2 linked regions of the Canis lupus familiaris genome follow. The protein of the gene in region 1 purifies or fractionates together with the protein of each later gene. This does not show direct contact. Links are inferred from orthologs where the notes say so. Each region holds a gene or a part of one and is shown on either strand. Other genes may lie near its edges. The genes, in order: NKAPD1 and CSNK2A2.

What was found.
Region 2: the proteins of NKAPD1 (region 1) and CSNK2A2 purify together in Homo sapiens (affinity purification with mass spectrometry; 5 studies listed by BioGRID and IntAct, counting the BioPlex papers as one, with this or other methods). This does not show direct contact. The link is inferred for Canis lupus familiaris from reciprocal best matches to the Homo sapiens genes NKAPD1 and CSNK2A2.

Annotation. Positions count from the first base shown.
Region 1 is NC_049226.1:21,077,140-21,080,958, reverse strand, and holds part of NKAPD1 (uncharacterized protein NKAPD1), read left to right. Parts: intron 1-453; coding exon 454-507; intron 508-1,945; coding exon 1,946-2,453; 3' UTR 2,454-3,819.
Region 2 is NC_049223.1:57,697,670-57,701,488, forward strand, and holds part of CSNK2A2 (casein kinase II subunit alpha'), read left to right. Parts: intron 1-140; coding exon 141-224; intron 225-1,022; coding exon 1,023-1,133; intron 1,134-1,374; coding exon 1,375-1,476; intron 1,477-2,219; coding exon 2,220-2,320; intron 2,321-3,334; coding exon 3,335-3,483; intron 3,484-3,819.

The sequences.
Region 1 (3,819 bases):
AAAAAAAAATAAAAAAGGATGAATTTCCTGGCCTGGGAATTACATCTCAATAGGATTGCGAATTTCCTGGCCTGGGAATTACATCTCAATAGGATTGCTGTGTAAAAAAAAAAAAATTGTCCCATTGTAGACAGTATTGTTACAAGTTGTTTTTGGAGAAGCACTTTACAGCTAAAGAGCAGGATAGAAGAGTTCCTTAGTGTTTCCTGAGAATGGCAAGTTCTCTTACAAATGGACAAAAGAATCCTTTGTGTCTGAAATAATAACGCAGTACAAAAAATGTAGCCAACTAAGTTACTGAGCTTGAAGATGGGATTGGCTCTATCATTATCTCTATTTCCTTTGTTCTCTGTGCATGTCTGTGTCTGCATGTACTCCTGAGTCTCTTTTTTTTTAATTTTCAAAAATGTATGCATTGCTCTAATACATGTAATGAAATATGTCATCTTACAGATGGGGTCACAGTGGTTATAAAGAGTTATACCCTGAAGAATTTGAAACAGACAGGTAAGATAAATAGGCTTATTGAAAAAAAAAGCTAGAAGCTGTAAGATTAATACTAAGTCTGTACTGACGTATAGTATCGTAAAATTGGGTTCCTAATTTTACAAAGGAGATGACGTTTGCCATTAAAAATGTAACCCAGAAAAATAACAGGCAATTTTGTGGGGAGATAATTGGTATATTGCCTTCTCCTGATTGATGTTCTGCATATATATATATCATTTAGGTTTTTTTTTTTTTTTTTTAAGATTTTATTTATTTATGAGAGACACAGAGAGAGGCAGAGACACAGGGAGAGGGAGAAGCAGGCTCCTTGCAGGGAGCTCAACGTGGAACTCGATCCCGGGACTGCAGGATCACGTCCTGAGCCTGAAGGCAGACACCCAACCACTGAGCCACCCAGGCATCCCTGTTTTTTTTTTTGTTGTTTTTTTTTTTAATTCATGAGAGAGGCAGAGACAGAGGCAGAGGGAGAAGCAGGCTCCCTGCAGGGAGCCCGATGTGGGACTTGATTCCGTGACTCCGGGATCATGACCTGAGCCAAAGGCAGATGCTCAACCACTGAGCCACCCAGGTACCCCAGCATTTAGTTTTGTTTTTTTTTTTAATAAGATTTTATTTATTTATTCATAAGAGACACACAGAGAGAGATGCAGAGACACAGGCAGAGGGAGAAGCAGGCTCCATGCAGGGAGCATGATGTGGGACTCGATTCCGGGACTCCAGGAATATGCTCTAGGCCAAAGCCAGGTGCTAAACTGCTGAGCCACCCAGGGATTCCAATATTTAGGTTTTTTTTTTTTTTTTTAAGATTTTATTTATTTATTCATAGAGAGAGAGAGAGAGGAGAGAGAGAGAGTAGCAGAGACACACAGGCAGAGGGAGAAGCAGGCTCCATGAAGAGAGCCTGACGTGGGACTCAATCCAGGGTCTCCAGGATCACGCCCTGGGCTGCAGGCGGCGCTAAACCGCTGCGTCACCGGGGCTGCCCAACATTTAGGTTTTTATACATAGTATTCAATACAGTAACTCAGTTTGGCAGATTAGAATTTTTACCTTAATTTTAAGAAAACAAAATAAGGAAATAAAACTCAGAGTGATAAAGTCTCATAGTAATCCTTTGTTAAAGCTCTTAGTTAAAAATTCAGATGTTAACCCCTACTTACTTTTTTTTTTTTTTTTTTTTTTAAGATTTTATTAGAGAGAGAGCATGAGCAATGGGAGGGGCAGAGGGAGAAGCAGACTCTCCCCGCTAAGCGGGGAGCCTGATGTGGGTCTCAATCCCAGGACCTCTGAGATCATGACCTGAGCTGAAGTCAGACACTTAACTGATTGAGCCACTCAGGTGCCCCAGCCCCAACTTTCTATCCAGAATGCTCAATACTAAAATATAAATACGCTTTTTATTTTCTATAGTAAAGCAGTTTCTCTTTTTTGTTAGTAGTGATCAGCAAGATATTACCAATGGAAAAAAAACATCTCCTCAAGTAAAATCATCTACCCACGAGTCTCACAAACACAAGAAGTCCAAGAAATCCCACAAAAAAAAGCAGAAAAAAAAGTCACACAAAAAACAGAAGAAAAGCAAAAAAGAAGCCACAGATATAACAGCAGATTCCTCAAGTGAGTTCTCGGAAGAAACCGGGACTTCTAGTACCAGGAAAAGGAAACAACCACATAAGCGCAAGAAAAAATCCAGGAAAAAGTCTCTCAAAAAATCTGCTTTATTCTTGGATGCAGAAAGTGACACTTCCCAGTCGGATGATTCTGCATCCAGCAGTTCTGAGGAAGGTGAGGAAAGAGAGACTAAGAAAACCAAAAGGAAAAAGAGCGAGAAAAATGTTCACATCCCTCTAGTTAACAATGAAATACAAGAGAGGACAAATAAACGCACAAATTGGAAAGTGGCTACAGATGAAAGGTCTGCAGAGAGTTCAGAGGAGGATTAGATGAGGAGACATTCTCCATTTCCCATCTGACTGGTTACTTACAGCTCTTCCACCTTGGGGTTCTGCTAGTGACTATTCCCAGCACAGGGGCCCTGAGGTCAGAGCTGTCCTGTGCCATCTACATTCGTTCTGACAGACTTCTTGTCTTCTATTTTGGCCTGTTAAACTTGATCCTCTTACTGTTAATAGGGAATCTGGTATTTTGTTATGAAGTTTTCTCGAAGAGATTATTTTTTGCAATTAATCACATTTAGGGTAGAGTGCATATACAGCAAATTAAAGGACCCAGAAGGCTGAATCCAATAACAACCTGGGTACACTAATTGGGATGTTGAATCTGGGGAAAGCAAGGGCTGGGATCAAGAGGTGGATTGGAACTGGTGCTGTGTAGAATGTTGTAAGGGAACATCGTGTTGCTGTTTATATAGGTGCCACAACTTGACCTTTTTTGTCTTCAGCCTTGGTGCTTTGATCTTTCTGTATTTTGGCCTCATAGATGTGGTCCAGTTTATTTAATGAGAAGATGAGTATAAGAGCAAAACATTTTTCCTTCATGATAACATCCATAGACGGCTGTTAGGAGTCTAGGGTTTCTGTCAAGTTTCCCTGCTGGACAGGGTCCATAGCTACACTCACTATATCCCTAAACATAGTAATTGGTATAGTAAATGGTTTTCTACTTCCATTGCTGTATATCGCCTAAATGGACTTGTGTTCAAAATTATTTCTTTAGTTATCTTGGGGAAGTCCTCAACCAAATGGGATAAAATTAGGAATTAGTCATGCTCATGGTGCTCTGAACAGGATTCAGGGTAGCAATTGCCAATTTAAATATTTGTTCATTTCTAAATCTATTAATGACCTTGAGATTTTCCCTGAAACTAGGTCGAATCAGTTCCAAAATGAAACAGGCTTCTCAGGGACGCACCTACTTCTTCCCAGTCTGCCTTCTGATTAAAGCACCAAGCAGAGACCATAGTATTTCCCTTTGCTATATACTGTGATCCCTACTGTTAAATCCTAAGAAACCAAAATGTCACGGAGAAAAGGCTGGCAGAACACAAGTGAATTTGTTCGTTATGACAGGATATCAAGTGACCCACCATTGTTTTTCCTGGTTGTCACTTCATGGGCTGCGTAGAAAGCTTGAAAATGCAAGACCTTTAGTTTTGGTTCTACCACTAATTAGGTAGTTACAACATCTGGAACAGGTAAGTTAACCTCCCTGGCCTTACTTTCCCCATGTAGAATACAGAAATGCTTCATGGCAGCAGGACAGCGTAAGACACCAGCAATAGAATATAACAACATTCCATGAGGTGGTAATACTTTATAGTTCTAACTACTAAAGTTGTTCTCTTTACAG
Region 2 (3,819 bases), on another chromosome or scaffold:
CATGGTTATTGTCCTCTGTCGCAGCAGTAAGCTGCCCCTTGGGAGATTGTATTCACGTGAAGCTGTCACAAATAATATGCTTGCGTTGGGAGGTTGGTAGACAGTGTGCTTACTTTTCTCTGTGCTTTCTTATCTAATAGGCTCTGGATTACTGCCACAGCAAGGGAATCATGCACAGGGATGTGAAACCTCACAATGTCATGATAGATCACCAACAGAAAAAGGTACCGTTGCAGCCAGGCAGCAACAAGGCTTTTCTTAAAAGGTCTAGGGCAGACCACAACTCTAGGTATTGACCTAGGAGGGACTGCAGACCAGTACTGTTTTCTTTGGCAGACTTGTGTTATTGTTATTTCTCCGGTCTCCAGTGTTGCTTTCTGCTCTGCATGAGCATGGTACACAAGGAAAGTAGACCCGTGAGCCTAACTGTAGTCCCTTGTTTATTTTGGTCATGGTTTTCCAGAGGGCCTCGCAAAGAAACTCCAGCAGATGGTTTGTACTTCTTTTAATGACCCTTAGACCAGTCTGCCTAGCCTTTACACTTGGGTCCCTCCTGTTTTTCATATCCAATTCTGGTTGTCTCTGATTGGTGAGTAAGTGATTCCACTACTGTGTGATTAATGAAAAGCTGGAGCAATGCTTCAATCCTGGGGTGGGGCCTGGGTCTCCAACCCTTTGTGTTGTGGCTTGAGCTTATGATGGGAGCTGTTAATAATGGGGGAATGTGTTATATGCAAGTAAAACAGAGGCAGAGTAAAAAGCTTAAGCTTGATTGATGGGAAGAGAATGATAAGCCAGGATAATTTAAATTAAAAAAAAAAAACAACAACAAATAAGATTCTGAAAGCTCTACTGTAGAGGTGACCTCTTCCACAGTTGCTGAAAGGGTAATTTTTGCCAGTGCACTGGCTAACATTTGTTATGTAGCGCACATATTGTCAGCTAACGTGATGTGGCCTTTTTCTAAGGCACAGGTGTCTAGAAACACTCCTTTACGGGTTTGATTTCTGTTGTGTTTGTAGCTGCGGCTCATAGACTGGGGTCTGGCAGAGTTCTACCACCCTGCTCAGGAGTACAATGTCCGTGTAGCATCGAGGTACTTCAAGGGACCGGAGCTCCTTGTGGACTATCAGGTACAACTCACGCCTCCTTTGTGTGTTTCCTTAGGGCTTCTCCTCGTGTGCTGTTTATTAAGTCAGTTTGGATACATTCAAAACCCCAGCCTGAAGCAGTCATTTCAGATTTTTCTCAGTGACTTTTTTTTTTTTCTTTGAATTCTAAAATATGTGCAAAGGTCAACTGAAGACTAGAAATCCAGATCAAAGAAATACATTTGCAACACCTTTCACTAACAGGCTGACCTTGTTTCCCCAGATGTACGATTACAGCTTGGACATGTGGAGTTTGGGCTGTATGTTAGCAAGCATGATCTTTCGAAAGGAGCCCTTCTTTCACGGACAGGACAACTATGACCAGGTGAGCAAACACTAACTGGCTCTTCCCCATGTGGGGGCACATGCCAAAGAAATGGGAGTCTGTTGACAGGGATGCTATCCTTGAGTCACTCAGTGTCTGCACTTAAGTTCTCCTTCAGGGTAAAGAGCTTCATGAGATTTTGTCTGTGGTTACTAGGTCCCCAAACATAGAGCCAGATAAAGCTATCTTACTAAGCTCCACGTATGCCCCACAGTGAGTCTGTGAAGAAGTCAGACACACCTTGTCTAACAACTAGCTTCTAGATTAGATTGTGATGCCCCCGTAATTGTCAGCTTCTGGAAGATTATTGTCTTAAGTTATTACCATTTTATTTTTGTTTTGTTTTTAATTTTTTTTTTTTTTATTTATTTATGATGGTCACACAGAGAGAGAGAGAGAGGCAGAGACATAGGCAGAGGGAGAAGCAGGCTCCATGCACTGGGAGCCTGATGTGGGATTCGATCCCCGGTCTCCAGGATCGCGCCCTGGGCCAAAGGCAGGCGCCAAACCGCTGCGCCACCCAGGGATCCCAGTTATTACCATTTTAAAGGGAGTTTGGAAATTTGCTTTCTGTGAACATCATTGGCCTTTGGTCTACCTCCTGTCAGCCCCGGGCTCCAATCTGCCTCTGGTCCCTGGAGATTCAGTGATGGAGAAGTCCTCTCATTTCTTGGGATAGCATCCTCACAGGCTTGCGGTGAGCTCTGTGCTCAGTAATTTGGTCAGTTTGTTTTGTGTTTCAGCTTGTTCGCATTGCCAAGGTTCTGGGTACAGATGAGCTGTATGGGTATCTGAAGAAGTATCACATAGACCTAGATCCGCACTTCAACGATATCCTGGGACAGTAAGTAAGAGAGAGGGAGAGAGAACGAGGGTTTTAACTAAACCCATTTCAGAAGAGGGAATATTCGCCGAAATCACTTGCTAATCATAGCAAAGTTGAAAATACCCTTCTTTTTTCTCATGTATGCTTTTTAAAACTTGTTTTGAGGTTTGGGCATTGTTTACATGTGTCTTCTGATCGTTGTACTTCTCCAAGAGATAACCTGTCAGTCCATAGAAAATAGGAGACAAAATCCTGTTACAGTGAAATGCTTTGCAGGACAGTGTATGCTTATTTTAATGGAAAATCTTAGAAAGCTGTGATTCTTCTTTGAGGAAGAGATTTATAGTTTTTTCTTGTTCTAGTTAACGGGTTTTCTACAAGGTGGCAAATTTTATTTTTTTTTAAGATCTTATTTATTTATTCATGATAGACATAGAGAGAGAGAGAGAGGCAGAGACACAGGCAGAGGGAGAAAAGCAGGCAGGCTCCATGCCAGGAGCCTGACGTGGGACTCGATCCCGGGACTCCAGGATCGCGCCCTGGGCCAAAGGCAGGCACCAAACCGCTGAGCCACCCAGGGATCCCCCCAACGTGGCAAATTTTAAAGCATATTTGCAGGTACAGTGTACTAGTGTTGAAAAGTAAATGCGTTGACAGTTCTCAGTGTTTTGTGGAGCCTCTGTTTCCAAGGCTAGCTCTCTAAATATTTTTGCTGCACAACAAAAATAACTCTGTCACCTCTGTGCCTCACCAGAATTGACTAAAAGCCTGATCCATAAGAAATGATCTAGGAAGGTGCCACAAATTCTAAATCAGATGTAGAAGCTTTAGTTCATTTTATCAGAGAGCATGTTTTTTGTTTCAAGATGCCTCAGATATTCCCGTGGAGGGTGGGGCAGACACCTGTGAGAATGAGATTTAATAAGTTTATAATCCTCCTGGGGTTCTAAGATTCTATTGGCTTTAACCATGGTAATGTCTGGATTCTTGTTGAATTGAATCTCAGTACCAGTGCTTCCCTTTCCTCCTCAGACATTCACGGAAACGCTGGGAAAACTTTATCCACAGTGAGAACAGACACCTCGTCAGCCCTGAGGCCCTAGATCTTCTGGACAAACTTCTGCGATACGACCATCAACAGAGACTGACCGCCAAAGAGGCCATGGAGCATCCCTACTTCTGTGAGTCTCCAGGGACCATTTGCAGGGGCCTGATTTATTAAAGGAATAAGTCTCCTGTTCTTTATCTTTGAGGCCAGTCAGGAGAATTCTAGGTGTTTGGATTGAATCATCCTTGGAATTTGGCCTCATTCATTCTGGACTATTGAGACAGCTCTTGCAGTTCCTTTTCTTGATCTGCAGAGGTGTTTGCTTGTCCACTGCCATAGCTCCCCTTGAGTCTGGTCTGCAGACCGTTCCCTGTGGCCCTGGGCTGAGAGATCACAAATATCTGAACTTTGTTTTCGGATATATCTGTGTGGAAACCTAATCAAACATGTTTTTTTCCCGTGAAAAAAA